7 linked regions of the Xenopus tropicalis genome follow. The protein of the gene in region 4 interacts with the protein of the main gene of each other region in a pairwise test. Links are inferred from orthologs where the notes say so. Each region holds a gene or a part of one and is shown on either strand. Other genes may lie near its edges. The genes, in order: pln, cyb561, sec22a, eda, emp3, dolk and leprotl1.

The links.
Region 1: the proteins of eda (region 4) and pln interact in binary tests that used the Homo sapiens proteins (3 or more experiments, as listed by UniProt). The link is inferred for Xenopus tropicalis from reciprocal best matches to the Homo sapiens genes EDA and PLN.
Region 2: the proteins of eda (region 4) and cyb561 interact in binary tests that used the Homo sapiens proteins (3 or more experiments, as listed by UniProt). The two-hybrid records come from large-scale screens. The link is inferred for Xenopus tropicalis from reciprocal best matches to the Homo sapiens genes EDA and CYB561.
Region 3: the proteins of eda (region 4) and sec22a interact in binary tests that used the Homo sapiens proteins (3 or more experiments, as listed by UniProt). The two-hybrid records come from large-scale screens. The link is inferred for Xenopus tropicalis from reciprocal best matches to the Homo sapiens genes EDA and SEC22A.
Region 5: the proteins of eda (region 4) and emp3 interact in binary tests that used the Homo sapiens proteins (3 or more experiments, as listed by UniProt). The two-hybrid records come from large-scale screens. The link is inferred for Xenopus tropicalis from reciprocal best matches to the Homo sapiens genes EDA and EMP3.
Region 6: the proteins of eda (region 4) and dolk interact in binary tests that used the Homo sapiens proteins (3 or more experiments, as listed by UniProt). The two-hybrid records come from large-scale screens. The link is inferred for Xenopus tropicalis from reciprocal best matches to the Homo sapiens genes EDA and DOLK.
Region 7: the proteins of eda (region 4) and leprotl1 interact in binary tests that used the Homo sapiens proteins (3 or more experiments, as listed by UniProt). The two-hybrid records come from large-scale screens. The link is inferred for Xenopus tropicalis from reciprocal best matches to the Homo sapiens genes EDA and LEPROTL1.

Annotation. Positions count from the first base shown.
Region 1 is NC_030681.2:73,815,064-73,820,003, reverse strand, and holds the start of pln (cardiac phospholamban), read left to right. Parts: upstream 1-1,887; 5' UTR 1,888-1,994; intron 1,995-4,940. UniProt on the Homo sapiens protein: Reversibly inhibits the activity of ATP2A2/SERCA2 in cardiac sarcoplasmic reticulum by decreasing the apparent affinity of the ATPase for Ca(2+).
Region 2 is NC_030686.2:16,658,526-16,662,264, forward strand, and holds the end of cyb561 (cytochrome b561), read left to right. Parts: intron 1-2,205; coding exon 2,206-2,395; 3' UTR 2,396-2,964; downstream 2,965-3,739. UniProt on the Homo sapiens protein: Transmembrane reductase that uses ascorbate as an electron donor in the cytoplasm and transfers electrons across membranes to reduce monodehydro-L-ascorbate radical in the lumen of secretory vesicles.
Region 3 is NC_030685.2:88,978,417-88,982,645, forward strand, and holds part of sec22a (vesicle-trafficking protein SEC22a), read left to right. Parts: intron 1-1,653; 5' UTR 1,654-1,669; coding exon 1,670-1,851; intron 1,852-4,229. UniProt on the Homo sapiens protein: May be involved in vesicle transport between the ER and the Golgi complex.
Region 4 is NC_030684.2:43,622,906-43,627,572, reverse strand, and holds the start of eda (ectodysplasin-A), read right to left. Parts: upstream 2,970-4,667; 5' UTR 2,740-2,969; coding exon 2,440-2,739; intron 1-2,439. UniProt on the Homo sapiens protein: Cytokine which is involved in epithelial-mesenchymal signaling during morphogenesis of ectodermal organs. Functions as a ligand activating the DEATH-domain containing receptors EDAR and EDA2R. May also play a role in cell adhesion.
Region 5 is NC_030683.2:115,864,562-115,868,429, reverse strand, and holds part of emp3 (epithelial membrane protein 3), read left to right. Parts: intron 1-1,210; 5' UTR 1,211-1,218; coding exon 1,219-1,296; intron 1,297-2,504; coding exon 2,505-2,607; intron 2,608-3,868. UniProt on the Homo sapiens protein: Probably involved in cell proliferation and cell-cell interactions.
Region 6 is NC_030684.2:22,852,531-22,857,424, forward strand, and holds the start of dolk (dolichol kinase), read left to right. Parts: upstream 1-1,846; 5' UTR 1,847-1,933; exon of another isoform or gene 1,934-1,937; intron 1,938-2,998; 5' UTR 2,999-3,128; coding exon 3,129-4,694; 3' UTR 4,695-4,894. Other genes in the region: nucleoporin NUP188 homolog, read right to left, coding at 13-67, 1,738-1,766. UniProt on the Homo sapiens protein: Catalyzes CTP-mediated phosphorylation of dolichol, the terminal step in de novo dolichyl monophosphate (Dol-P) biosynthesis. Dol-P is a lipid carrier essential for the synthesis of N-linked and O-linked oligosaccharides and for GPI anchors.
Region 7 is NC_030677.2:83,711,714-83,716,694, forward strand, and holds the start of leprotl1 (leptin receptor overlapping transcript-like 1), read left to right. Parts: upstream 1-1,746; 5' UTR 1,747-1,944; coding exon 1,945-1,960; intron 1,961-4,981. Other genes in the region: cops4 (COP9 signalosome complex subunit 4), read right to left, coding at 352-431, 1,513-1,586. UniProt on the Homo sapiens protein: Negatively regulates growth hormone (GH) receptor cell surface expression in liver. May play a role in liver resistance to GH during periods of reduced nutrient availability.

The sequences.
Region 1 (4,940 bases), on a different chromosome or scaffold from region 4:
GAAATTCTAAAGGACTAATGGTCCCAAGTGTGCCTGAAACTGCAGTCTACTCATTTTCTGTTTAATGTACTAGCATTAATGAATTTTCCTTTTTAGGGAAGGTATGAAAAGGCAGCTTTGAGCTGACATTACATTAGGACTAGGATTCTCTGTCACTTCTGCACAAATCTATTCTACTAAACATGCAGACTTTCAAGTGAAAATGTAATGATATTGTAACACAGCATAAAAGGTTAATTTTCATCATATTTAATTATCCAATTGCTTAACTTATACTGTCTTATTTTCAATGACCTTATAAATGTATTACTTATATATTGAAATTTTTTTGTATGCCTTAGAAACTCATTTTCTGTTACTCTTCTTATAAATTGTATCATGGTCCTTTCTAGCTAGCAGATAAAGAGTACAGAGTTTGTCAGGAGTCTTGAGGAATAATTCCTCTGATATTCATCCTTTATGTGCCATAAAGCAAGATAGGGCTGTTGTTAGAACTAAAAAGGCAGAATAAACACCACTTTATAACAGGGTACACTACAACTACAAAAGGACACATAAAAAAACTGTGTACATGATTATACTCAAGAACATTTTTTGAAAGCTTAAATAGTTCCTAAGCAAAGTTTCTATAGATGTCAGTGGGAACTGTCTCAATTAAGTTTATTTAATTTATTTTTTTCCCAGTTGAGATTTCCAGCCTTATTCAAATTGACTATTATTATTTTTCAAAATGGCATACCCCTCAATAGAGCAGTTACCACCACCTACTAAGATTTCTTTAATGTAATAACACCTGACAGATCACTCAGAATTATGGTTAATTAGTTCATCTCTATATCCTAAGCCAGGGGTCATTAGACACTTTCAAATGTAAAAAGATTTGGGGAGGAAAACAAGCATAAAAATATGCACCTGGGGTACTAAATAAGGACTATGATTGGTCATTTGAGATCCCATATGTGGACTAGTAGCCTACAGGAGAGTCTGTTTGGCAGTACACCTGGTTTTATGCAACTAAACCAAGGCAGAAATTTAAAAATAAGCACCTTCTCTGGGGCAACTGGGAGCAATATCTATGGGGCTGGTAAACAACATTTTGCTCCCAAACCAGTGGTTTGGGACCACTCCTAAGGGCTCTGGCACACGGGGAGATTAGTCGCCCGCGGCAAAACTCCATGTTCGCGGGCGACCAATCTCTCCGAGTTGCCTTCCCCCTGCATCCCACCGGCGAACATGTAAGTCACCCGCGAACAGGGAGTTTTGCCGCGGGCGACTAATCTCCCCGTGTGCCAGAGCCCTAAACCTTTACATGGCTTGTTAATAATGCTTGCCATTAAGAAATACTTTGCATTTTAACTGCCACAATAAAGCTTTTTCACACAAGTGTGACAATACATTTTTCTGCAAAGTCCATTGTTAATAAGAAGAAACAAGTACACAACCACTTGTAGCAGAACAGAAAGAGAAGTCGGTAAAACAAATGCAAGATTTCACATACACAAAAAATATAATCTATAATTATATTAGTGGTCCCAAATGAACATGTTTTATCTTAAGCTAGTATTTTCTTACAGCTTTTATCCAAAAACTTTAGTGCAGATAATTAGGTAAACAACAGTTGATTTGCATTTTTAGAACTATGTCAATCAAATAGCCCATTCGTTTATGGGAAGAACTGCAACAGAGAACTTGCAGGCACATAACAATTATTATGTTTTATCAGTTCATCTCACTCTAAGGGAACTTTTGATTAATTCTAAGGAAGGAAACCACAGCCAATCTTAACAACAAACTGCAAAATTCTTTCCAAATATCAGGAGTCCTGCCTCTCACTGCGATTCTGCTTCCAACCACCCCTCACTCTCTCATTTCCACACCTCCTCAATTGTTGTAATAAACTGAGCGACAGCCCCCAGCCCTGCCACTGAGCTCAAGGCAAGCTGCCGAACACTTCCCACTGCAAAACTACTTACTAACAACAAAATTTCAATAAGGTAAGGGCATCTGCACTGTGAAACTAAATAATATTGCTTTTTAACATGCTTTGCATGTTGGCTTGCAGATCAAAGCAGCTTTATCCTGATACATACATTTCAGTCTGCAACTAAAATTGTCATCTAATTTACATGTAAGTGATATGAGTAGGTTTTAATTTTCAGTCTGCAATTCATTTATTTGGAATTCCTATTTTCAGCTAATAAAAGAAAAAGAAAGGTATTACAACCAGTTGTATAAGCTTGGGATTATTTGCAAAGATATGCAGCATCCATATTATATTTAGCTGACTGTCTCACAGACAATTATGTCCCTTGTGGGCTGTAAAAATATTGCTCTTTTAACAGACAGCTGCCAGCATTCTAGGGGGTTCTGGGAAATATAGCTTTTAACAGCTGGATGGGCTCTTTGACGTCTGTAGAACAGTATATAATGTAAATTATATTTATTGTAAGAAAATACTTTAATGTATGTCAATAGAATAATGGAATACATTTGTCAAACTCATCAGTTCCCCATGTCTTGGAACTTCAGATGTATTATTTTTAGGGCTGCTGAATGCAAATAAACACTGGAAATAGTCATGTATTTCTAATGCTGGGAAGCATGTTTGTGATAGCATGGGGAGGTCAAAATGTTAATGAGAAAGGTTCTCATAGGCATTTAGCCTGGAAACCAAGCCAAAAACTATGGAAGGAAATGTAATTGAGGCATTACAGCACAAAGAAAAAAAAAGTAGGGGGAAATATTTTAGTAGAGTGTTGGAAACTGGAAAGTAAGTCTGAGCACCATAGCCTATATTTCCTATATAGTATCACAAGGGCAAAAAGTGGCCCACATAGCAACTTTTTGAATGCTCTATGGCTCACTGTAATTGCTTACTCTGTTTAGATCTGCAGACGAGCAATTTTAAAGAGATAGAGTCTTGAGACTTTGCACCCTGTATATAAATGAGCAAAGCTTTAGCTAGTTGTTTTCTTTAAGCTCTGTATATACAGGCATTTGTCTTGCTGTTGGTGATGCACTTCCCAGTGTACACATTTACCACAGATGAACACTGTCCAGAGGGAGTGCATCTTCAGATCAGCATGACATGTTTCAGCTCAGTTCACCAGCAGGCAACACAGAATATAGAACATCAAAATGGCTCATTATGCAAAATATAAATACCACTATAAATAGTCACTGTTGGTGGTGCAACATGTTCCCTGGATACCTGGCCAGCCATTTACCATTTAAATAAAAGATCAGGACTCAAACAGTCCAATTTTAATTTACCCAACACCAATAGTGACCAAGGGGGTATGACCTTCCTTCTTCAGGGTATGTGATACATATATAGATTGAAACAAATATTGTGGAAATACACAATAATTTATAAGTGTAATAATTTCTTCTATTTTTAGATGGATATTCAGCTATATATTAGCTGTATTTTACCTGCATGTACAACACTAATTATAATGTTGCAGTCTTTTCATGAAACTTTCATGTCAAAGGGAGGAGCTGATTTTGGGTGCTTTTCAACCAGATAAAAAGGGTAAAATAAAAATCACACTGTGTGCCATCAAACTAGATATCCTTCAAATGCAAATAAAACAAATGTGGTTAAAATCCAATGCAGCAATCTGCATCCAAATGTTGCTTTTACATAAGAAGTAAGGCCAAGTTTGGGCAATCTACAAACCTCCAGAATTTGACTTAATGGCTAGCCCAAGATCATGAAATACTTTACTTTAGAGGGGAGTGTTGTTTGTGACATTCCTGGCCAAGCAGTAGTTAATACCTAATAACATAATCCTTTTGTTTACCAGGAATAATTTCAAGAGCCAGGCGGAGTAAGGGACTATTGGCCATGGCTCAGGGAGTACAAGCTATCCCACATAACAAACAGCACAAATAGTTTCATAATTTCTCCACTGGTGACCTTTTCCAAATCCAATATGATCTTTAGCCTACCCAAGGGCTTTAGTAAACTATGAAGGGGCATTCTTGCATCAGCCTTATTTTATTTCTTTGTAACGATTTCAAGTTTAAAAAAAAAAAAAAAAAAATAGTGGAAAAGAAACATTTTAATAAGTGGGTTAACCCACCTCCTATATAAAGCATGATAAAATTGTTTTGAAAGACAAATGTAAAAGTTTATTACAATAATAAAAAGAATACACCCTTATTACACTTTGCTGTCACTGTAAGCTTCATGAATGAACTTACTTGTGTTTGTTCACTTGAATTTATTTAACCATGACCTTTTACAAACGTATCTTATGTGAAGAGCCGAATGGGAAAAAAAATTATACTTTTGCTGGCCAAAAAAATCAAGACAAATGCTGGAATGCCTCCTAGGCTTTACTAAGCAATAGCTTTAATAATGAATCATCTCTCAGACAAGGATCTTACACAAAAATGGAAACAAGTATCTTTTTCTAAAAACAGTATATAACTTATAACCTTAACTCATCAGTACAATGCCTCTACACTACAATGAATTTGAAATTCAGTAGATATTTACTTTTGGTAATCTGCACATCAAACGGTCTGTCCAGCTGGAGGCCCATGGGCTAGATGCAGTCCTCTAAGTTATTTTTTGCTTCATGGACATATCTGAATGAGCCTGTGATATAAATGGGCTACACATATGCATTTAGAATTGTGTGTAGTTTGATTTTTGTGTTAAAATATTTCAGAGGATGCAAATAACTCATAGTATACAACTCTTTCCTGATATAACATGAATTAAGACTTTTTTTTTTTTTTTGTTAGCTGATCCTTTAGCTAGCAGCATATCATGTGTACATGCCATGCACCCCCAATACTCTCTGGCAGAAAGTTTCCAGTCTAGTGTCCTCCTACAAGTTTCAAGCTTCAAATTATATATCTCTAGAAAGCTCAGTAACTTGTGTAGTTGGTACACAGCGTGGCCTTGTGTGTTCTGGCCTTTATTA
Region 2 (3,739 bases), on a different chromosome or scaffold from region 4:
TATTATAAGGGATAATGTACCCCCTACTGTAAATGATAAGGATATTAGCAGTCACTGAGGGGTTCTGTGCCCATATAAAGGCACAAGGCTTCAGGCTGAGTTATACAGGGAACTCTGAGTATCACTCATGTATTATAAGGGATAATGTACCCCCTACTGTAAATTATAATGATATTAGCAGTCACTGAGGGGTTCTGTGCCCATATAAAGGCACAAGGCTGCAGGCTGAGTTATACAGGGTACTCTGAGTATCACTCATGAATTATGAGTTCCCTGTATAACTCAGCCTGCAGCCTTGTGCCTTTATATGGGCACAGAACCCCTCAGTGACTGCTAATATCCTTATCATTTACAGTAGGGGGTACATTATCCCTTATAATATATGAGTGATACTCAGAGTTCCCTGTATAACTCAGCCTGCAGCCTCCTGCGTGGTCACAGGACCCCTCAGTGACTTCTAATATAGAGTACAATTGATTCTATTCAGTGGTGTGTTTGTCTTGAAGTGTGCATACTTTGTTCTTGTTAGCCATTTTTAGTTCAGCAGCTCTCCAGTTTGGAGTTGTAGCACCTATTTGGTTGCTAGGGTCCAAGTTACCTTAGCAACCAGGGAGTGGTTTGAAAGAGAGGCTGGTATATGACTAGGAGAGGGCCTAAATAGAAAAATAAATTATAAAAAATAATAAAACTGTAGCCTCACAGAGCAATAGTTTTTTTGCTGCTGGGGGTCAGGGAACCTCATTTAAAACCTGCAAAAGTTTGGAAAAAGAAGGCAAGTAATTAAAAAACGATAAATAAATAATGAAGACCAATTGAAAAGTTGATTAGAATTAGCCATTCTATAATACACTAAAAGTTGAAGAGGTTAAAGCTACGTTTTCAGCGGCTGACACATCTCCTGCGTGGGTGGTGAGGAAATGATTTCTGTTAAAGCTCTTGGGTAATGTCGCTTGTAATATTTGTATCCCATTTGCTAACACCAGTAGAAAAGAGCTACCTATTCATAGTAATACTATGGCAGGCTAGTTTGCTTCTGGTTTGAAAGGAGGACACTGGGACATTTGTGGCATGGCAGCTGGTGGCTAGTGGACTTGCTACACACAAAGACAAGAGCAACTACAACACAGGGCTTAATACCTAGCACACACAGCAGCCTTGCAGATGGAGCTTCATTTTCGATACAAAAAAAAAAAACATTCCACTTAGCCCCACTATACAAGTTCTATTTAGATATAATCCATTTTGACTGGGATTGCACAAAACATGCAACAGAACCCTCAGGAGAGAGGTTATATATTTTATAGAAATCCACCGCACTGGCAGATCTTAGCGCTGGCTAGCCTTGCCCACACAGTATGAGCCGGGATCAATCTTCCCTTCTTTCTGCACTGATCAGTACAACTTTTAGTTTGGTTTGGGTAGGAACTTATTCAACTTCTAAACAAAGAGCCCTGGCTGCTTGCTATTGTTTGGTCAGGCTTCGCCTCACGGTGTATAAATAACTGGAGGGTGCCACACCTGTGCAGGGAAAGGGCACGTCAGGGAGAGATCTAAGTAACCGTCCTTTGTACGGTCTATGCAAAAAGTGTTTGTGTGTCAAGGCTGCAGGCTAGATTATACAAGGAACTCAGAGTATCACTCGTGTATTATAAGGGATAATGTACCCCCTACTGTAAATGATAAGGATATTAGAAGTCACTGAGGGGGTCTGTGACCATATAAAGGCACAAGGCTGCAGGCTGAGTTATACAGGGAACTCTGAGTATCACTCATGTATTATAAGGGATAATGTACCCCCTACTGTAAATGATAAGGATATTAGCAGTCACTGAGGGTTCTGTGCCCATATAAAGGCACAAGGCTGCAGGCTGAGTTATACAGGGAACTCTGAGTATCACTCATGTATTAGACACTCAGAGTTCCGAGTGCCTTTTTATGGTCACAGAATCCCTCACTAATTTCTAATATCCTTATAATTTACAGTACATTATCCCTTATAATACATGAGTGATACTCAGAGTTCCTGTATAACTTTTTTTTGTAAATGGAATAAACACCAATTGGTGACTTGTATGAGTTACTTTCTAATACCAATAAGGATGAATATATTATATATAGAGCTTATTGTCTATAGATATATGCAGAACATACTGCGTGTTGTATACATGATATATTACAAACTATTAAAATATATACTTAAAACAGGGACTACTCACAACGGCCAGCAGAGGGCGTCCTGGTCAACACACTGGGAGTGCTGCTAGTGGTATTCGGAGCAGTTATTGCCTACATCCTGACACGAGAGGAATGGAGGCGCCCACCTCTTCCAGAGGAGCAGGCCCTTTCCATGGACTTTAAGACCCTCACTGAAGGAGACAGCCCAACTGATCAGTGAGCCACTATGCCGAGCTTAGACTGACGCGCTCTACTGTCCGAAACCTCTGATGCTGCTTGTGATTGTAACTTATGTACAGCTGGGACCCTCACTGCTACCTGTCCCTATACCGGGACTACTATGGGATGTGGATTCTGACAAAGCAACATTTACACAGATGCAGCCTTAAAAATGCTGTTGTGCCCACACCTACCTATGGGTGCCAGCCTGTGCCAATTTTGTTCAACAGTTCCTGACAACCAAACCCTGTTAGACCATGCCACTGTAATTTGCTTGCCAAGGCCACTGATCCCGGCATCAGAATGCAGTTTAAGTGCCAGGATGGAAAAAAGGTAATTATTTAGAAGATTGTCTATGGGAAATATTCATATTTATTGCAAGTTTATTCCTGGCCAGTCACCTGACAGCTAGCATTCTGAAGTGTTAAAGGAGAAGTAAGGCTTAATCATCAGTCTGATGCCCCTGCCCACATCTTTGTGAGTGTCCTCCTTCTGCGCTCTACTTCCACTCCTAGGTTATGTGCCAATTGTATCCACTGGATGTCTGTGCTAATAAATGTTCAACATGCACTTCTGCCTATTTGCTTATGGGAGATTTAATCCATAAATCTTTTGGAAAAGAAGAGAAGGCAGGCAGCTGTAAGAGGGTGCTGGGGGTTATAGTGCCTGCCCCAATAGAGCTTACAGTTTAGGCTGATGCCAGACCTGGCGTAGGGCTGATATTTTCGGCAAGCAGAAAAAACGCTTGGCGAAAATACAGCCCTACGCCTGCTACTTGTGCCTGCACCCAAATGAATGAGATACACTCGGGTGCAGGCACATGTAGCCGATATACGCATGAAAACGCAAGAGAATGCAAAGTCTCCGTTTTCATGCGTATATCGGCTACATGTGCCTGCACCCGAGTGTATCTCATTCATTCGGGTGCAGGCACAAGTAGCAGGCGTAGGGCTGTATTTTCGCCAAACGTTTTTCCGCTTGCCGAAAATATCAGCCCTACGCCACGTCTGGCATCAGCCTTAAGCTCCTTATCACATTCACACATACACTAGGGGCAATTTTATCTTGAGCCAATTAAACTGCTTGATGTTTCTCAGGTGGAAACCCGACATGGGGAGAACATAGAAACTCTTAGCCGATTGTGCAAGGAGTCTCACTTAGGATTCAGACTAAATAATGTAATCAGAACAAAATATAACACTTCTATGGAATCCTATGAAGAATTCCACTGTATTTGGAATTTACTTTTAGGTAATTAAGGACTGTTGGTTACCTACCTTGTTACACAGAATCTGCCATGTTGCTGTAGCTGCAGTTCTCTTTTTGCTCAGTAGAGGGAGCTCCT
Region 3 (4,229 bases), on a different chromosome or scaffold from region 4:
ATAAATACAGCGGGAACAGGGGGTATGAGTATAGGTCTGCCTGGCACCAGTGGGGGCACTTTGCTGAGACCGTGGTTATACCCCCCCACCCTGAGTATTTGAAAGGGCAGCAGTGACAGATGGAGAAGGGTATTTTGAAATTCACCATTCTCACTGAGCACTCCATGCAAATAGGATCTGTGCCACTGTGACAGAATGCTCTGTTATACAGATAGCTAGAATCTCAGCCATAGAGCAGGGCAGGACTGCTGCTTACAATGGGGGGATCAGATAGGATCTGTGCCACTGTGACAGAATGCTCTGTTATACAGATAGCTAGAATCTCAGCCATAAAGCAGGGCAGGACTGCTGCTTACAATGGGGGGGATAGGATCTGTGCCACTGTGACAGAATGCTCTGTTATACAGATAGCTAGAATCTCAGCCATAAAGCAGGGCAGGACTGCTGCTTACAATGGGGGGATCAGATAGGATCTGTGCCACTGTGACAGAATGCTCTGTTATACAGATAGCTAGAATCTCAGCCATAAAGCAGGGCAGGACTGCTGCTTACAATGGGGGGATCAGATAGGATCTGTGCCACTGTGACAGAATGCTCTGTTATACAGATAGCTAGAATCTCAGCCATAAAGCAGGGCAGGACTGCTGCTTACAATGGGGGGATCAGATAGGATCTGTGCCACTGTGACAGAATGCTCTGTTATACAGATAGCTAGAATCTCAGCCATAAAGCAGGGCAGGACTGCTGCTTACAATGGGGGGGATCAGATAGGATCTGTGCCACTGTGACAGAATGCTCTGTTATACAGATAGCTAGAATCTCAGCCATAAAGCAGGGCAGGACTGCTGCTTACAATGGGGGGATCAGATAGGATCTGTGCCACTGTGACAGAATGCTCTGTTATACAGATAGCTAGAATCTCAGCCATAAAGCAGGGCAGGACTGCTGCTTACAATGGGGGGATCAGATAGGATCTGTGCCACTGTGACAGAATGCTCTGTTATACAGATAGCTAGAATCTCAGCCATAAAGCAGGGCAGGACTGCTGCTTACAATGGGGGGGGATCAGATAGGATCTGTGCCACTGTGACAGAATGCTCTGTTATACAGATAGCTAGAATCTCAGCCATAAAGCAGGGCAGGACTGCTGCTTACAATGGGGGGATCAGATAGGATCTGTGCCACTGTGACAGAATGCTCTGTTATACAGATAGCTAGAATCTCAGCCATAAAGCAGGGCAGGACTGCTGCTTACAATGGGGGGATCAGATAGGATCTGTGCCACTGTGACAGAATGCTCTGTTATACAGATAGCTAGAATCTCAGCCATAAAGCAGGGCAGGACTGCTGCTTACAATGGGGGGGGGGATCAGATAGGATCTGTGCCACTGTGACAGAATGCTCTGTTATACAGATAGCTAGAATCTCAGCCATAAAGCAGGGCAGGACTGCTGCTGCTATAAATGCCCCAGTGGCTTTGTATTATGTTACTTTGTGTGAATGCTTTGTGAGACCCCATTGTGCCCATAGTAATGGGGGTATAAATGCATATAAAGCCCCCCATGAGCCTGTGTATAGGGGCAGGACACATATGTTTGGGGGGGGGGTGAATATATAATAACAAGGTACTGAGTGTATCTGTGTGTATATCAGCTCGCCATTCCGGGAGATGTCACTCATCCATTTCGCTTCGGTGGTGCGTGTAAGAGACGGGCTCCCACTCTCCGCCTCAACCGACCATGAACAGAACACGTCCGTGCAAGAGACCAAGAAATACCTGAAAGTGCTTTCCAAAAAGCTGGAGCAGCTTCCTGATAGGTGCACACTGAGGAGAGGGCCCCATAATGTCCAGTAAGTAATTGGGGTGCTGCGTGGGTGCCGGGCATGTAATAGGGTTCCCTCTGGGTGGGCAAGAGAGCAGGGTCTGAGTGTGTAAGGAAGTAAAGGGTAAATCTGAGCAACCAATCAAGTTTTTTTTTTTTCCTTTTAAAGGGGAACTAAAGCTTAAAGGAATACTGTTATGGCCAAACCTGTTTGTTACAAACCCATCAGTTATTAGAGCTTCTCCAGCAGAATCCTGCATTGTAATCTGTTTTCCCATGGGGCTAGCCATATTCTTCATTTCCCAGGGTGCCACAGCCATGTGACCTGTGCTCTGATAAACTTCACTCACACTTTACTGCTGCGCTGCAAGTTGGAGTGATATTCCCACCCCCCACCCTCAGCAGCCAATCAGCAGAACAATGTGAAGTAGGAGAAACAATAAGTTGGTACAGGGGGTGGGGATATCACTCCAACTTGCAGCGCAGCAGTAAAGTGTGCCTGAGTCTGAGCTTTCAGCCAGCGCTACACATTAGAACTGCTTTCAGCTAACCTATTGTTTCTCCTACTCCCATGTAACTGGAGGAGTCCCAAGCCGGACTTGGATTTCTTACTATTGAGTGCTATTCTGATACCTACTGGGAGCTGCTATCTTGCTCCCTTCCCATTGTTCTGCTGATTGGCTGCTGGGGGTGAGGGGGGGGGGATATCACGCCAACTTGCAGCGCAGCAGTAAAGTGTGACAGTTTAGCAGAGAACACAACACAGGACACAACGCACGCACTCACGCTCCCCTAATGAAGAGCAGATGGTGGATCTGACATGGAGCTTGTGCCGTCTCTCCCTCCCCAACAATATCCTGGAATTATTGTATTTTTCATGGGGAAGGTCCTGGAATGGGTTAAGGAGAAGGGCAGATACATTTGTAGATGAATAGCCCTGTCAATGGTATTTATGTATAAACAATTAAATCCCTTTTCCTTATCCAAATCCACGGTTGCTAGGGTGAGGTAGCCTATCAACCAGATAGCAGTATATAAAACACATAGCTCCCTGTATCCTTGTCTATATATTATTGAAAGTCATTTTTTTTTTTTAACTTCCCCTTTAAACCTTTGTCATTGATTAATCCTTATTCCGACCTTACGGGAATTTATCCGCAATCGGATAACGATGATTTTATTCATTATTTGCAGTTGGTTTCTGCCCTTTCCCAGAGCGCTGGCAGTAATATTCCTATTAAATACCATTTTTGGATAATACCCCGACTCCCGGCGACCTCCCTCCCTCTCTCATTGATCGGATTTGTTGTTTCTTTCATATTGATTTCCTAACGAGATCTGTAGCACTAATTCCATTAGCTCCCCTACTGGCTCTGCTCATTTAATTAAGAACAACTTGTATTTTTCTGGGAGATTTTGAGTACATTTCCTGCGGTTCAGAATCATCTCTACTGTTTATTATTATTATTATTATTGTTATTAAAGATTTAATGTTTTGTGAGTGAGGATTTTCTGTAGGTTTCAAATTTAAAAACATTTCTGTAACATTAAACCAATGTACATTTATATCACTGGTGTCTCACATTATGAGTTGGAATTTACACCCTGGTTATACCGGGCTGCTCTCTTTCCCATGGTCAGACAGGAACTTCCCCCTGGGTAAGTGAATCCAATCTCCCCCCAGTACTTACCCAGGTACAGAGCTCTGATTCTCTGTACTTCCTGCTCCTGGGCTGCTCTCTTTCCCATGGTCAGACAGGAACCTCCCCCTGGGTAAGTGAATCCAATCTGCCCCCAGTACTTACCCAGGTACAGAGCTCTGATTCTCTGTACTTCCTGCTCCTGGGCTGCTCTCTTTCCCATGGTCAGGCAGGAACCCCCCCTGGGTAAGTGAATCCAATCTCCCCCCAGTACTGACCCAGGTACAGAGCTCTGATTCTCTGTACTTCCTGCTCCTGGGCTGCTCTCTTTCCCATGGTCAGGCAGGAACCTCCCCCTGGGTAAGTGAATCCAATCTCCCCCCAGTACTTACCCAGGTACAGAGCTCTGATTCTCTGTACTTCCTGCTCCTGGGCTGCTCTCTTTCCCATGGTCAGGCAGGAACCTCCCCCTGGGTAAGTGAATCCAATCTCCCCCAGTACTTACCCAGGTACAGAGCTCTGATTCTCTGTACTTCCTGCTTCTGGGCTGCTCTCTTTCCCATGGTCAGGCAGGAACCTCCCCCTGGGTAAGTGAATCCAATCTCCCCCCAGTACTTACCCAGGTACAGAGCTCTGATTCTCTGTACTTCCTGCTCCTGGGCTGCTCTCTTTCCCATGGTCAGGCAGGAACCTCCCCCTGGGTAAGTGAATCCAATCTCCCCCCAGTACTTACCCAGGTACAGAGCTCTGATTCTCTGTACTTCCT
Region 4 (4,667 bases):
AGAGCTATGGAGAAATTAACAAGAGAATACGATACCTGCCAAATTCACAGTCATCATCTGTGCACCAACACCCAAGGGGCAAGTTATTCCATTCCAACAGAAAACTTCTAAATAGTCGGGTCAGCTGTTAAGCTCTGGTTCAAGAAGAGTTTATTTTTTTTACTGCATTATATGGCAGTTGCACGAAAGCATTAGGGAAAGAGGTTTCATTAGTTACAGAACAGACATATCACACAGTTTCGCCAGGGTATGAGATTTAAAGCAAGGTATAAGACTTGGGTACATCTGGTCTTCATCTCTGTGTATTTGGATCCTGTTTGCTTAGAAATAGTCTGTATATTTCTGTTTATCGAGTTTGCAACTAAGCAAATCACGCCATCGCCAAATCAACGGTTTTCTAAGTAAAATCAAACTCATGTAGTGGATTCTGGGTATTACTTAGAATAACACTACAGAGTTGAATACAATGCCCCTGTAGCTGGGGGGCAAATGAATGGTTTCTACTGAACTGCAAATTCACACAAACCATTGGCAGTCACACAAAAATAATTGCGAGACATGCTGCGGTTCAGTGATTCCAGTACAACTGCCTGAGGGCCAGTTCTAATGGTGACCACAAAAGGCAGAGAATTAGTTCACTGGTTGGCCATACAAAAGTAAAATTTAGAGATGTATCAAGTTGTCCAGGCAAATATTCTTCAACTCATGTGGCTTGCTGAATAGAACTGCTCATTTGTTTGGCAGAGCCGCAGTCCCACTCTTTTCCAAATCTACTGCATTCATGGATAGCCCAATGGCTCTGATTCACTAAATGAGCTGTGTCCCATCTCACTTCCAAAACTGCCACTGCCTCATGTTCATTAACAAGAACCATCACATTTTTAGTCTGGACAGACCAACTGCAATTTAATGGAATTGTAGGACAATATGTTCTAAAAGCTGCCTATACAAGCACAGTTGGCAATACCAATGCATGCATGGCAGCCATTACTGTAAATAAACCATCTGCATTTACAATCCTAGGTGATACCCTTATACCAACACCAAACAGGGTTCCATTAATTCACGGACAGCAAACAGCAATGGGGCCAATCTAATATACAATTTAGCAGTAAATATTAACATGGCAAGAAGAATAAACTTATGTAGTTCCATTTGGTTTGTTCCATTCAGATGCAAAAGGCTAAGTTTGCATTCTACTAGACTAAATCCACTTTTCTCTCTTGTAACAAAGGACAGGAGATTGTTCTTTCCATTACAACAGTAAGGTGTTTGCTCAGTCCACTACCACTTATATATATTATATTTTCCATGCTATGCAAATACATACAAGAGCTTGCCACCAATGCACACCATACATAGGCTCAACACAGCAGAATGATGGTATCATCTGATACAGGCGCTAAAGGGGATGTAAACCCAAATATAATTTTGCTTAATTAAGGTACTTGTTATGCAAAGCAACCCTCCAATATATATGTATTGTATAATTGCTACAGAGTGCAGTCCCTTTCTATTCTCTCTATCTCTATTGGTATTACTTTTACAAATAACTTTGAAATCATTGACGTTTAGAATGAAGGTATATTGGAAAGCTGTCTATGAAGATTTTCATTCATCCAGGTCATGGTATATCTAGTATAAATAAATTTGAAGCAACTGGACTTGTTTAGTAATCATTGAAGACGTTTCACTACTCATCCGAGCAGCTTCTTCAGTTCAACTGAACTGAAGAAGCTGCTCGGATGAGTAGTGAAACGTCTTCAATGATTACTAAACAAGTCCAGTTGCTTCAAATTTATTTATACTAGATATATTGGAAAGCTGTTTAGAATGACATTTTCTTTCATTAAGCAAACTGATAGCTTTGGGTTTACATCCTGCAGCAGTCAGTGGGTGCCAGAGGTGCTGGAAGTTGCAGTTAACCACTGTAGGATGTATCTCTTTAACATGCCTGTAGACAATGAAGGTAGCAGTGAATTGTTCAGATAAAGCACACATTAGTAAGCTTGGAATCCCCATAACTGATAAGCACTGATTTAGCTGCCTGATAAGGAAGATAATGATTGACAGTTTTAGGTGAGCATCTCTAGGACAGTGGTCCTCCCCTCTGTATGTCCCAAAGGGTACCAGATGGGCCAGCTTCCAGGGCATCCTCACCACTGGAAATCCTGCCGGAGCGCTACACTGATCATCTAAAGTGATGCCCCAGCACCCCCTGGCATGCACTGACAGCATTCATGTAACAGCTGAAGAGTGACAGGTTGCTGCACATCCCTAAACACATCCCATTGCAACTTGAGGCACATCTCTCCCTGCAGAGGCCCCTGGTGCTGTTGTGAAACTACAACTCCCAGAAGTGGAGTAGGAGGGGCTGAAAGTTGTACTTCTGTAAATATTTCTGAATGACTTCCCACTAAATGAAAGAGTGGAAGGTACCTGTCGCCGGTCGTTGGGCTGCTGCATGTCAACCAGTCGCAAAGCAGTCCTCCACTGCTGCAAAGTCCCTACCGGAGCTTCACTTGTCCCCGAACCCCTAGACAGCTCCCGTCTTAACTCCGAGCGCAATTCCAGATAGCAGCAAATGGTCACCAGGTGTAAGGACAATGACAGGACGAAAAAGCCCAGAAAGAGCCGGCAGCTCCCACAACGTTTCGGACAGGCACATGCAGGCTGCTGCTGCAGGGAGGAGTCAGAGGAGTCCATGCCACGCTTGTCCGAGGAACTCCGCGGTGCCATGCTCGGGAAAGGAGCGGCCCCAAGGGCGCACTGGGACTGTGGGGGGGAACTGCAGCCACTAGAGCGCCATGAGTGGCGGCCGAGGCGAGCCCTACAGATGCTGGCGGAGAGGAGACGCGGGAGGGACGGGACAGCAGGCGAGCTGCCCAGTTCTGCCACAAACACGCCTCCAACATTCAAAGCCACCGCCCCCCTAAGCCCAGCATTTTACACTGGCCCCGCCTACTCGCCCCGCCCACAACAAAGCAAAGCTGGGAACTCTTTTCCAGATAAAAGTGCGCCTTATCCCAAAATGCACTGCGTCTCATCTCAGCGACTCCTCCCCAAGATCACATGCGCAGGGTGCCATCTGTCGGAAACGCAGGGAACTTCAGCGCCCTGTTGTGAAAATATGTTTGACAGCTGAGTGATGTTATGATATATGACAGTACACGCCGCAGGTTATATTCTGTAAAGCTATACAATTTACAATACTATGTGGTGCCACAACGTATTTGTCATTGTGCATTAATATTCTTTTTAAAAGGTGCATGGTTGTTGCCTGTACATACTACTAAACTACTCTGTCCTTGCAGCTGGCAGACATATCCCCAAATGCCTGGGTGCAATAACCCATAGCAACCAATAAGACTTTTGCTTCTAAACAGGGTGCCTGCAAGTGACTGGACCTGTAGGTAGCATTGCCACCTGTTTTACTGGAAGGGCTGGTAAAATTAAAAAAATACATTTACACACAGAGCTTCTGGAAGCCCAATGTGCCCCCAAGTCGCCTTAATGCATCCCTTCTACAACATCAGTATAAATGCCCCCAGCGGCCCAGACCCGACACTTGCAGCGCTCCCTCTGCCCGACCGTTCCTCCCCTGACTCGTTAAATTTACGAGCTCGGGGCATACCTCCCAACATTTCATTAAGAGAAAGAGGGACAAAAATATGTGACGCGGGTAGTTGGTGAAATTTTTTTGGCCACGCCTGCTTTGTGACCACGCCCCCACATACCACACCCTCTTTACATGCCCCAGATGTGCCATTATAATCACTAAATAAAAAGAATAAAGGACATATTAACTTCAAAAGTGTCAGTATGACTACATTAAATTGATAAAGGGCATATTAACCCCAGACATCCCAGTAAAATTACTAAATGAAACTGATAAAGGGCATATCAACTTCAGACATGCCAACAGTTATGTGCATTTGCCAAAGTTATAAACAGGGCCAATTCCAGTGGTACATAAATCTATGTTATTTCCTTCTATTTTTTATCAGTTGAAAGCAAAACAATATTAATGTACCACTAGAAGTTCTAGCCGTATTAACAAGGCCTAAGGTTCCCAGACTTATAAGGGCCCCTTTTAAATGTCTGCTATATTTTACCTCTTCCCCTGCATGCTGTGCTCTGCCATACCTCCCAACATTTGAAAAATGAAAAGAGGACAATATTTTGACCACGCCCACTTTGTGGCCACGCCCCAATTGCCACACTCCATTTTTAAATTAGTTAAAATAGTGCCCACGATGGCCCAATAGACAGCACCCCCATACACAGTGCCCCCCCATACACAGTGCCCCCCCATACACAGAGCCCCCCATACACAGTAGCCCTCCTTACACAGAGCCCCCCATACACAGAGCCCCCCATACACAGAGCCCCCCATACACAGAGCCCCCCATACACAGTGCTCCCCCATACACAGTAGCCCTCCTTACAATAAGCCCCCCATACACAGTGCCCCCCCATACACAGTAGCCCTCCTTACACAGTGTCCCCCCATACAATGCCCCCCATACACAGTACCCCCCCATACACAGAGCCCCCCAATTGCCCCCATAGTGAGTACCTCCAATAGAAAATGCCCCCATACATAGCGGCCCCCATAGACTTCTTGCGGCTCCTGCTCCTTATTCGGCTCCTCGTACGGCGGCGAC
Region 5 (3,868 bases), on a different chromosome or scaffold from region 4:
TTGGTAGGAAATCTTGTTTTTATTCAACCAAAACTTGCCCCCAAGTCAGGAATTCCAAAATAACTACCTGGTTTGGGGGCACTGAGAGCAACATCCAAGGGGTTGGGGAGCAACATGTTGCTCACAAGCTACTGGTTGGGCATCACTGCGTATTATCCATACATCAACCAAATGGCATATATTTGGCCATATCTGGATAAAACAGAATGGAAGAGAGAGGAATAGAACATTAATGTAAGGAGCAAACTTGGAAAACTGTGACCCCCTCCCCGTTGCACACTAAACTGATTGTGTCCATAGCCAGCCCAAAGGAGTGCAAATATTCCAAGTGTTCAAGCATGGAGTTGGCAATGAGTCTTGTAGATGAAATTCAAACCTTCATTTGCTCCAATACAGTCATTGGAAACTTTACACCATACAGGAATAAGCTGTTCATAATTCCATTAGAGTTGTTAGAGGAAGGTTTTGATTCCAGTAGGCTACTGTACTGGTGAAGTGGCACCTAAAGAACTAAAATTCTGCAAATATCTGATATTTTACTGTTATGACCAATGTTCAGTCTCCTGTTTTTGTCTTTGTCAAACCATGTATGCTGATAATACCGTACAGCAGTTATAGGTCCCATAGTAAAGACCCTAAACATCAATTTATTTCCAGTTATGTTCCTAGTGAAGAGAATGACTAGAAGAAAAACACAAATGTTGCTGCAGCTTGAGGGAACAAAATATTAATCTCACCTTGTCTTCAAATGTGATAATCAGATCTTATCACCGGCTCTACCTCTTTGGTTTAATTAAAGAAGAGCAATTATCATAGCCGGATTTGTAGAATATTCATGGCTGCCAGTTATTGCTATTCCAACAGTTATCAGATGGCCTCGGGTTTAGAGACTGAGATATTCAGAGGCACAGATGCCAAATACATTGTCATTGGCCGTCTCTGGTTACATGTGTGACCATCAGAGATCCTATAGAGGTCAGCACAGAATCTAAAGGGAAATACTGTTATTAGCACACAAATAAATATACACTTTTAACCAGGGATCTACCAAGTCTATATTTTTTGGTTCTATGAACTACTATGAGCAATAAAAGAGCAAAAGCTTATAGTCTAGAGGTGGTGGGACTGGAATATCCTCTTTGTCATTGTAAAATATATTGCTAACTGTATGTAATTGTATGTAATACTATATATATTCTCTTTCTTCTAGAACTGAAGATGAGCTTCCTACTCTTTGGCGTCACTGCCTTACATCTCATCATACTGGTGATCCTCTTCGTTGCCACACTTGACAATGTAAGTAAAACAAAAACAAAGACAGGGGACAATTGTACGCTGAGTAGAACAAATGTGTTCATTTTCTTCACCCAATGAACACAAATATACTAGTCCTGGTGGGAATGTCCCTTCTAAGCTCTGGCAGTTGTGGAGAGGTTTCCTGTGCATATACACACATATATATATATATAATATAAAACCACTTTAGAGTCCGTGTTTATACAATGTGCAGCTGAGACCGACCCAGCACATTGGCCAGTGTTGCATGCAGTTTTTAAAATGCTGGTTTTGTACATACAGCCTACTAGAAGGGAACATAGCCTGATGGACTGGGTCAAGAGCATGATATTGACTGGACTAAAGGGGACATACCCTCAAACATGAAGCAATAAAATGCCCTCCAGCATGTTGCACCCTATGTGCTGAATCTGTGCCTGTTGGTTTAAATTGGTTATGTATCTCTTGTGGGGATAACTAGCTGCTTCTTGATTAATTTTATTTGGAAGCTTGTAGGATTTGATCAGTTTTACCATTCATTACCCTTAATGGAATAAGGATAGAAACTATAGTACTGAAATAACCCACTTAATAACATTCTCATTCATCCAAGTCATGATACACAGTATCTAGTAGAATTAAGTCTCGAACAACTGGACTTTTCTGAGTTTTTCTTGAAAACCTTTCACCACTCATCCGAGTGGCTTCTTCAGTTCAAATGACTGGTAGGGAATTCCCCGGTATTTAAACTCTTGATGGTAGTACAGTCACAGACATCCAATCACAATGGTTCCATTGAACTTGTTCAATTAGGGGTTGGCTGAAACTGACAGGTGTAAGAAGGTATGATACAATCACAATGGTTCCATGAATCTCATTGATGCAGGTGTTAACCCTTCAAAGAACATGAAGTGTGAAAAGTTGCGAAACCGCCGGGGTAAGGATGTCAAAGCAGCATTGTATGTTGATGAGAAGCGGTGTCTAAACAGAGGAGGGGGCCTGTGACACCACTTGTCATCAACATGAAATGTGAAACGTTTTCAAGAAAAACTCAGAAAAGTCCAGTTATTTAGACTTAATTCTACTAGATACTGCTTCTTGACTAATTTTATTTGGAAGCTTGTAGGATTTGACCAGTTTCACCTTTCATTACCCTTAATGGAATAAGGATAGAAACTGAAGTACTGAAATAACCTTCTTAATAACCCTCTCATCTTTGTGCTGTCTAGTCCTGGTGGGTATTCTCTGAAGAGGAGACTGTGAACCTCTGGTACGACTGCCTTCTAGACAACAACACGGGAGTCTGGTTGTGTTCTTCTGTATCTACTAATGGTAAGGCATCACTATAACTAGGAATATTAAAGCTCCTGCCCTCCATTTTCTACTCCCACCCACCCAGTAGGCAAAGTCTGAGGTTCTACACCTGCAAATTAGATATGGTTGGTAACAAACTGAAAATAATAATAATTGTAGTCAACATAATCAGGTATGGCACTGGTCATGTGTAGGTCAAAAAAAATAAAAAGTCATCCCGCACTCTGACCAGTCCACTCCCAACCCGGCGAGCTGTGATTATTTATATACCCACACCCAACCCACTGACATCAGCGGAAGGGGTGGGGCATGTGTGAGCATATAAATAAGCATCCAACAGACAGCTGGAGGAGAACTAGCAGTATGTTGATGTCATGGGTGGGGAGGGTGGTGGTCAGAATTCTACCTGCATCCCGCTAATCCACAGGTTTCAGGCTTGCCTGAACATCACTAGTTAGAATATATGAAAGAATATGTAGTAATATACACAGATTTATAAACAGGTTTTAATACAGTCCCACATTAATGCAGTGTTTCTGCAGACTGTGTGAAGTCATTTGCTTTTGTATGCAGGGTGTCTTAGAGAGAACGTCTACACTTGTCCTTTAAAGGGGAACTCCTCCCCTGCTAGGATTTTAAATGATGCAGAAAGAGAAGAACTGTTCTGGATTTCAGCATATAAAAATAATATAATAATATAACAGATTACAGTGATAAGTATTTAGGGGTTTCTGTGTTGTGTTTAACAAATTTGGTTCGGAAGCTGGAGTTTCCCTTTAAATATTATTGTTCTACAACAGTGCTATTAGAACAGAAACATTATAATGAAAATATGTTAAAAATAAAAGTATAATAATGTTGTTCAATTACTGAAACATATATATATACAAAGTACGTAACCCATAGTCTTTGGAGAACATTTGTCGAACATTATGAAGGCAAAAGAGAGAATCATATCCAGGCTGCTGATATGCCTGGAGGCTTTAAAAAAGGTTAGAATGAGAGTAAAATTTACATTTATGACCAGTACTCCTAATTCAACCCTGGAATTATGTCTATTAAGGCTTTCATTCATGGGTATGCTGTACAGTACAGCGTGAAGTAATGATAGGTCTGATTTAGACTTCCCACTAGATACTGTATATCATGCCCTGAACTGAAACCTTCTGAGACACATCATTCAAACCCAGGTCTCCTTGAAACATAGGCTGCTGCCTTAACCATACTCTCAGTTATCCTGTAATGGGGCAGAAGCTAACATAAGCCTGTTTCTCCTAAG
Region 6 (4,894 bases), about 21 Mb from region 4:
GCTGGCACTTACCCCATCTTTCATGGAAGAGCGTCCAAGCAGAATGGTCCATAACTCTCGGCTGGTCCTGTCAACACAAACAAGCACATGGTTTTTGTACATGGGTGGAATAAAGAGAATAATACAAGATATATCAGGGTAGAACCTTGGCCCATGACTGGTAATAAGTCAACCAAGATCCCAACTATGAAACAACTGCTACATCAGCCAGACAGCGGGGCAACTCTGCCCTGCCCCCAGCCAGGCAGGGGGGCAACTCTGCCCTGCCCCCAGCCAGGCAGGGGGGCAACTCTGCCCTGCCCCCAGCCAGGCAGGGGGGCAACTCTGCCCTGCCCCCAGCCAGGCAGGGGGGCAACTCTGCCCTGCCCCCAGCCAGGCAGGGGGGCAACTCTGCCCTGCCCCCAGCCAGGCAGGGGGGCAACTCTGCCCTGCCCCCAGCCAGACAGGGGGGCAACTCTGCCCTGCCCCCAGCCAGACAGGGGGGCAACTCTGCCTTGCCCGCAGCCAGACAGGGGGGCAACTCTCTGCCTTGTCCACAGCCAGACAGGGGGGGCAACTCTGCCCTGCCCCCAGCCAGACAGGGGGGCAACTCTCTGCCTTGTCCACAGCCAGACAGGGGGGCAACTCTCTGCCTTGTCCGCAGCCAGACAGGGGGGCAACTCTCTGCCTTGTCCGCAGCCAGACAGGGGGGCAACTCTCTGCCTTGCCCGCAGCCAGACAGGGGGGCAACTCTCTGCCTTGCCCGCAGCCAGACAGGGGGGCAACTCTCTGCCTTGTCCGCAGCCAGACAGGGGGGCAACTCTGCCCTGCCCCCAGCCAGGCAGGGGGGCAACTCTGCCCTGCCCCCAGCCAGACAGGGGGGCAACTCTGCCCTGCCCCCAGCCAGACAGGGGGGCAACTCTGCCCTGCCCCCAGCCAGACAGGGGGGCAACTCTGCCTTGCCCGCAGCCAGACAGGGGGGCAACTCTCTGCCTTGTCCGCAGCCAGACAGGGGGGGCAACTCTGCCCTGCCCCCAGCCAGACAGGGGGGCAACTCTCTGCCTTGTCCGCAGCCAGACAGGGGGGCAACTCTCTGCCTTGTCCGCAGCCAGACAGGGGGGCAACTCTCTGCCTTGCCCGCAGCCAGACAGGGGGGCAACTCTCTGCCTTGCCCGCAGCCAGACAGGGGGGCAACTCTCTGCCTTGCCCGCAGCCAGACAGGGGGGCAACTCTCTGCCTTGCCCGCAGCCAGACAGGGGGGCAACTCTCTGCCTTGCCCGCAGCCAGCCAGACAGGGGACCAGGAGAGTCTCTGCCCTGTCCAGGGGACCAAGTCCAGGAGAAAACACTATCATTTTGCTTTTGCAAATGACTTATACAGTGATTAATCCAGGTCTCCGAACGGCACAACACGGCTTGCTTTCATCTGAAGCATGTGCCCCTGTCAGAGAGAAAATGGTACAGTCCGGTTAGCCCTGAGAAAGTTTCTAACCGCTCTTCTAATGTCAGTGCCGGATATTTCCATTCATATAACCACATGGCCATATAAAGCTCTCCCCATATAGCGCCGGGCTGCCCAGCAATATTCCTATTCCCTGTTGCTTCCCACATGGACTGACTCACTCGCACTGACTTCCCTCTGTCCCCTGGGAACCAACTTCCCTCCCTTCTCCCTTTAAATTCTATATATGCTGCCGCTGCAGCTTCCAGTGTCGCTCGGAATTCACATCCCCTTCCAAAACCCTCCTCTCCCCGGTACCTCCGGTACAGACACCCGGCCGCCGCCATCTTCACGCCCCCTTCACGGCCTCACACGTGACGAGCCCAAGCCCCCCCCCCACTTCTCCAGCAGCGCGGTGCGTATATCACGTGATGCTCCTGCCCTGGCGGAAGTCAGCTGATTGGGTGACTGCACTAGTGCTCCTCCGCCCGGACTAAAGATGGTGGCGGCCAAGGTAGGTGAGAGAATGGAAGCTGCACAAAGATCTTTCACCTTCGCCCTAACCCTGTGTCACTGCTGCCTTGCCCATATATTGCCCATATACCCCGTATGGTGTTCTGCTGCCCGGAGGCTTTTGTTGTGTTGTTATGAGTTAATAGACTGACTCATTGTTTGGAGGGCACTTCCCCTAATGCATTACTGCTGCCCTCGTCCCAAGGAGCAAGAAGGCTTCCGCTAATGCAATTGAAAGGAAAAAATCCTATTTATTGGTTTAACATTATAAACTGTCTGTAGCATACAATGATCTGAATGTGGTGTTACAACCCATGTTACATTAGTAGATATAGTTCTCCTCCATTCTGGTTAATGGGCACTAGACCCTAATAAATGATGTATTTAATCAATATGTTCGTTTTTACCCTGTTCTGGTATAAAAAGGGTGTTTCGTTTGAAAGGAGTCCTGTGTAGCCATGGGGATTGCTGATTCTGGGACCTGTATGGTGGAATGGGCCTTATTTAACTATAAACAAAATATTTCTATTTGATCCCTCAAGTGTATTCTCTTTCTATTTATAATAATCCATGGGCTGGTTTGCTCAGTGCAGTATCCCATAGCAACCAATCAGCCATTAACGTGGACTATTCCTCTGAAGGAAAGAAGAATATCTAAGTTTATCTCTGGTTGGTTGATGGGTCTTGCTGCACTGACTTATTTTATATTATGATATGATTTTCTCGATCATCCAGTGAAAACATTTGGATCAAAGTTAGAATATGGTGCAGGTGTGTTCTGACTGTCCAGAAGAGAATGCATTGGGTCACACACTGGGCATTCACATCCAGAAGCCCCAAGCACTCAACTTATATTCCCACTGCATTTGATCTAAGGTGGCTGACTTGTATAATAAATAAAGGGTAAATCATTGGGTTGGAGAGTAATTTGTTAGGCACCCCCACCCCCCCAGTAATTATAATCGCTAATTGCAAGCACCTGCCCAGGGCAGCAGAAAAGATTGCTGGGAAGGATTGAAATGGAGGGGTGTCTTTGTAACTTACATATGGAATGTTTTGTTTGTAGGTGTGACCAATGACTGTATGTACAAAGATCATGCAAACCAAAGAAGTGGCCATTTGTACATTGAGATTCAGTTAGCATATCGGCACTTGCAGAAGAAAGGAAAGTAAGAGATCTGGCACCCGCAGGCACCATGGTGAATAAACTGATTGTAGCCGAGTCTCTGGTGGTGTTTGGCATAGTCCTAAGCATTCACGCCGTGGTCTGGGACCGCTTCTCGTGGTGCACGTTGGCCCTAGCCATCCAGGCTTTTTACGTGCAACACAAATGGGATCGCCTCCTGCAGTCAGGAGGGGCAGTGTTTCAGTACCGATCATCTGCCAACAGCGGCCTCCTTCCGGCCAGCATGGTTATCCCACTTCTGGGTATAGCAATGAGAGAAAGGTGTAAAATATCTGGAAGTGTGTACTTTGAACGCTTTGGAGTGGTCATATCTGCTACCGGCATGGCTCTGGCATACTTCCTGTCCATCATCGCCTTGGGTATCACTAAACCTATCCCTAGAAACACCTGCATCCTTTCTGGCATTGCCGGCAGTGCCATACTCTACACCATGAAAAATTCCCTGGCGGTCTCTGAAGTCATAGAAGTCCTGGAAGTTCTGCTGATCTTTGTGTACCTCAGCATGATCCTTCTGTACCTGCTCCCACGATGCTTCACCCCTGGGGAGGCACTGCTCATCCTAGGAGGCCTGAGCTTTGTGCTCAACCAGCTTATCAAGTGTTCTCTCACTTCTGCGGGGGGCAAGGGAGACCCCATTGATTACCTCCTGCTGGTAACATTGGTTGCCTTGGTCCTGGTGGGAATTATCTTCTCCATTCTCTTTGTGTTTATGGACTCCTCCTCATGCACCTCCGCCCTGTTTTTCTACATGATGACCACTGTTTTGGCTTTAGGGGTCTTTGTGCCCTGGCTGCAGTACCTGATACGTAGACACCCACTTTTATGGCTGCTTGAGTTTCTGGTGCAGTCCCACACTCGGCTATACTTGCTGGCCTTCTGGCTGCTTCTTGCACTTATTGCGTGTGTTGTGGTTCTGCACCAGAATTCCAAGAGGTCTCCAGACTCAAAGAAGCTTCATGTTTCAACAACGATTCGCAAATACTTCCACTTCCTGGCTGTGGCTACCTACATTCCTGGACTCCTATACGACCGGCAGCTACTGTACGTGGCATCTGTCATTTGCTTGGCAGTGTTTGTACTCCTAGAATACATGCGGTATTTCCGGATCAAGCCCTTTGGGCAGACTCTACGAAACCTGCTGACTCTGTTTCTGGATGAACGGGACAGCGGCCCCCTTATTTTAACACACATCTACCTGCTGCTGGGCATGTCACTGCCAGTGTGGCTGTTTCCAAGGGTCTGTGCCACTTCCCTTACAGGCTCGTCCACGTTACTCCCATATGCAGGCGTACTGGCTGTGGGTGTAGGTGACACCGTGGCCTCTGTTTGTGGCAGTGCTATGGGTGAGCTAAGGTGGCCTGGGACAAAGAAGACCTTCGAGGGGACAATGATGTCTATATTCGCTCAGATCATTGCAGCCGCCCTTATTCTAATCTTTGACAGCAGCGTAAACCTAAACAGCGGCTATGTCTGGATTCTGGGGTCCATTACTCTGGTGTCGCTGCTGGAAGCATTCACTACACAAATAGATAATCTGGTCTTGCCGCTGTACCTCCATATACTGCTAATGGTATAAGGGTGGCAAGAAGAAAACATGGCTCTTTGGCAGAGCATCGGTATAGCCATTTTTAAAAAGAAAAAGTGTATTTTCATTAAAGGGGGCATTTATCCTATTTATAAGTAGCATTTTTTCCCCTATTTATCAAAGAGGTACCCATGGGCCGCCCCTTAAAGTCATGGGCCCGAGGGTTATTTTATGGTAGATACGGCCTTGCT
Region 7 (4,981 bases), on a different chromosome or scaffold from region 4:
GGCAAAAAATATTTTCAGCAAAAGCCCTACTTATTCAACTTGCACAAGAATAAGGAAGGCTCAAAACAGTCATTCAAAACAGTTGCAGAGGAGACATTTTGACACCCCTGGTGGTAGACACTGCCATTATGTTGTGAAAAATTCTTATTCCTCATATATGTGAATCTTTGGGTTTCCACTGCCTGCACACACACACCACTTGCACTCACATTTCCTATTATCATATATAATATATGATATATATTATATATTATCATAGATAATGTAAGTCAGATAATCTATGTCAGATAATTACTGAACCCATTTTCCCCAATAGTGCAACCCTTTATACACCCAAAAATACAAACATACTTGCTTCAACAAAAGCTTTCAAGGCTTCAAGTTGTTCTGGGCCAGGAAGTTGGAGTGCTTTATCTAATATTTGTCGGTACCTATAAAACATGAAAGATAAATTAACCAGCACTTAGAAAAACAATGGGGGATAATATAGGAAAACATATTTTTGGCTTCTTGGACTGTGTTTTTGCAACTCCTGTCAAGTAAAGCTTGAATTCAAAATCCTGGTCACTCTATAAGGTTTCAGTTTCAATTTAGGTTTTTATTTCCACAATATACTTTTAGCTACTTGGTGCAACTACCGTCCACTAGGTGCTTATTCCCCCTTCCAATTGTTCATCACACTAACACTCATATCTGACAGTTATCTAAATATACTAATTTATGTAGATAAACAAATATTAATGGTTTACATTAATATGAATATTAATTACATTTGCTTATGTTTGCCTTTATCTTCTTTTTTTAAATAATTTATGAATAAAGTGATATTTAAAAAATAACAGGATAGGATGGAAAGTGCGAATGCAAATTATCCTAAAGGTGTAAATAAGTATAATTATGAAAAGTTAAACGACACATAAGAAGAAGAAAGTATGAATGGCTGGGTGAAATGTAAGACATAGAAATAGGGGATTAAAGGCAAAAAATTGTGATAGGTATGAGGAGGAGATATAATGAATGAGGAGTGGGAGATCTGTAAAGACTGTAATAGCTGCAGTTTGTTAGTATATCTTCTACTGGGGGAATTGTTTTCCTCATGTGGCTGCAAATGTACAGTAGGAACATCTAATCTGTGCAGTAGAAATGTTTTATTGAACTTGAAAAAAACAATTAAATGAAATTGAAATCATAAATACCAGACACCTCATCACGGAACTCCTTGACTGATTTTACATTTATAATGTCAGATCTGGTTTATATTTACTTGTTCACCTTTTCTATCCATGCTAAGCCATACATTGGCTCGCAGATAACAATTCAATAAGCGGTAACATCACTCATCTACACACAATATAATCATTTCCTTTCTTTCATTTGAACATTTCTGCCCAATAGAATTTTTGACTGGCACTAAAGCCCCCTCAGAGCACTAACCACAAGCATATGCACACTTATTAGTTCCTACGCGCTAACGTAAATGTGTCCCAAAAGTTCTGTTAGCGGCAAACTCACTTTCCGGCGAGATCCTTATGCGATCCGCTAGAATTCATCAGTTGTGTAAGGTCTTGTCTGACAGAGGCTGCCATCTTGCTTTCTGCTCGGACACACTGAAACCACTCGGAACTATAGCGAAATGATTCCGGTGTTGCAGTCACGTGACCGCTTAGTATAGGACCTGCGCTACGATAGGTTAGGCGCTCAGACAGGAAGTGAATGGTGGGCGGAAAAAGATGGGTTGTGACTACATGACCGTGACGTCACGAAGGTCCCTTCCGAGGATAGGAACTAGCCGCTACAATGCGAAAATCGCTCCATTCATTTTTCTGAGAGGTTGTCCCCTGGTTTATTTGTGTGGGTTCTGAACAGGTCCAGAAATTCTTTCGCTCCTGTCTGCAGAATATTCGCTTAAATCTCTTCTGCTGCAGGACCTGTGTGCTCAGCTTCATGGCAGGCATAAAAGGTAATTGCCGCGGATTAAATCGATGCAAGCATCAAAGCAATATGTACTTGACGCTCTCGTTTGTTTATGTTGCTTATACATATAGCTCACAATACATGTAGCACGATATCTCAGCAAATTAATGACTGGAACAAAATGTTCGATATTTGTTTAGCTCTGTACTTCAAAGGGGATTCATGTTGGTAGATTTTATTAGCTTTATTTTTCTGGTTTCTGTAGTATAGTGTAGTGTAATATTTTGCAGTCTCTTTGATGCCTGGACAAGAATTTACTGGCACAAATCGTACTTTAGAACGTTTGGTATTTCTAGAAGATCTCCACACAAAAACAGCATTTTGCATCATGGAAGACTTGGGATACTATGCAGCTTTGAATCATTCTACACAAAAACAAACCTTTTTTAGGTGGAGTTATCTTTAGAGAGAGACTGTTAATGTTTAACAATCCTGAAGGCTACTCTTGTTTATAAACACAGCAAATTGCAATAAACTGGGCATACTGAACAATAGTGACTACAGTAAGCTAGTAATGCTAGTTAGTTGGAGATGGGTGTTGATTTTTTCCTAACTCGCACATCACTAGTTTGGTGCTGTTTTACCAGTGCATAATGGTGCAAAGTTATTTACAATGTAAGTCACAATTATGAGTAGCTTAATTGGTTTATATATCCATTCTAATAGTAAGTATAAAACACTTTAACTGCTCTATAGAATGTAACTTTTGCTGATTATTGGGATACTATGCAGCTTTGAATCATTCTACACAAAAACAAACCTTTTTTAGGTGGAGATATCTTTAGAGAGAGACTGTTAATGTTTAACAATCCTGAAGGCTACTCTTGTTTATAAACACAGCAAATTGCAATAAACTGGGCATACTGAACAATAGTGACTACAGTAAGCTAGTAATGCTAGTTAGTTGGAGATGGGTGTTGATTTTTTCCTAACTCGCACATCACTAGTTTGGTGCTGTTTTACCAGTGCATAATGGTGCAAAGTTATTTACAATGTAAGTCACAATTATGAGTAGCTTAATTGGTTTATATATCCATTCTAATAGTAAGTATAAAACACTTTAACTGCTCTATAGAATGTAACTTTTGCTGATTATTGGGATACTATGCAGCTTTGAATCATTCTACACAAAAACAAACCTTTTTTAGGTGGAGATATCTTTAGAGAGAGACTGTTAATGTTTAACAATCCTGAAGGCTACTCTTGTTTATAAACACAGCAAATTGCAATAAACTGGGCATACTGAACAATAGTGACTACAGTAAGCTAGTAATGCTAGTTAGTTGGAGATGGGTGTTGATTTTTTCCTAACTCGCACATCACTAGTTTGGTGCTGTTTTACCAGTGCATAATGGTGCAAAGTTATTTACAATGTAAGTCACAATTATGAGTAGCTTAATTGGTTTATATATCCATTCTAATAGTAAGTATAAAACACTTTAACTGCTCTATAGAATGTAACTTTTGCTGATTATTGGGATACTATGCAGCTTTGAATCATTCTACACAAAAACAAACCTTTTTTAGGTGGAGATATCTTTAGAGAGAGACTGTTAATGTTTAACAATCCTGAAGGCTACTCTTGTTTATAAACACAGCAAATTGCAATAAACTGGGCATACTGAACAATAGTGACTACAGTAAGCTAGTAATGCTAGTTAGTTGGAGATGGGTGTTGATTTTTTCCTAACTCGCACATCACTAGTTTGGTGCTGTTTTACCAATGCATAATGGTGCAAAGTTATTTACAATGTAAGTCACAATTATGAGTAGCTTAATTGGTTTATATATCCATTCTAATAGTAAGTATAAAACACTTTAACTGCTCTATAGAATGTAACTTTTGCTGATTATCTGTATTCAAATTTTTGTGCTGCTAACATCAAAAGCAAGCACTACCTGCTTGAGTGGTGAACACCTTTTGCCAGGAGGTGCACATGTTCTTCTTTTTGCCATAATATTTATTTCTGAAGTTGCATTTGGATTTTTGTTGAATGAAGTGGTCAAGCTGTCATCTGAGACACAAGAACAAACAGGGGAGATATTTTCTGTATGTTTTGTCTGTTAAAACCTTTTTTGGATGTCTGCTTTTTTTTTTTGTTTTTTTTTGTTCACCATATAGTTACAAGAAATGAGAAGATTTCAAAAGATGCCCTTCTAGTTGTCTTACAGAAATCGGCACTATTCAAGAAAGCAATGCATTATTTTACCGTTATGTTAGATTCCCTATGGGAATAGCTGGCTATTTGAGATTATTCGGGTCATCAGACTGTCATGTGACAAGCTGCTGAGCGAGAGTAACTTTTTTTAATTCCTTAGACAGCGATCCTATTTATTACTCTGAAGTCACAGAGAAAGAACTTTGTAATTCACTTTTTTTTTTTTTTTAAATATAGTTTTGCACTGTTTTTAAATATATAACCATTAATTTAGGTGTGTGTCAAAACATTGGTATGCTAATAGGAGCATCAACTATGGTTATTAAAGGACAATGTAACATTTGGAAATACATTGGATAAATATGAAAGCTGCAAAAATTGCAGCTTTAATGATGCATGTCTAGTGTTTTACTAAGTGTTAGTTCTTTTGAGGAAGACCCGTCAGTGAATTTTCCTGTCCTTTAGCAGAAAGGTGTACCTATAAATTGTCATTTGGTGTAGCGATGTATGGGGTTGACCTGTGATCCATAGTTTGCCATTGGGTCTGGTAGGTTTGGGTTACAGTTTGGGCAGCCATTGCAGGTTCCGGTTGGGTGCAGGTCAGACTGGGAAAGTACACTCCTCTGTTCCTGAAGATAGCCTTGGAACCACAGATACACACACAAGCAGCATACGGAGTGGGAAGGTGGAGGTCCTACAATGGCAACATTCTGAAGGTTATGGATGGGTGTGGATTAGGGTCTGGGCTTTTCCTAACCCACATATCAATAGTTTGGTGCTGTTTTACAAATGTATAATTCATAAAAAATACATTTTTATGAAACCAAAGTTATTTTCAATGTAGGTCA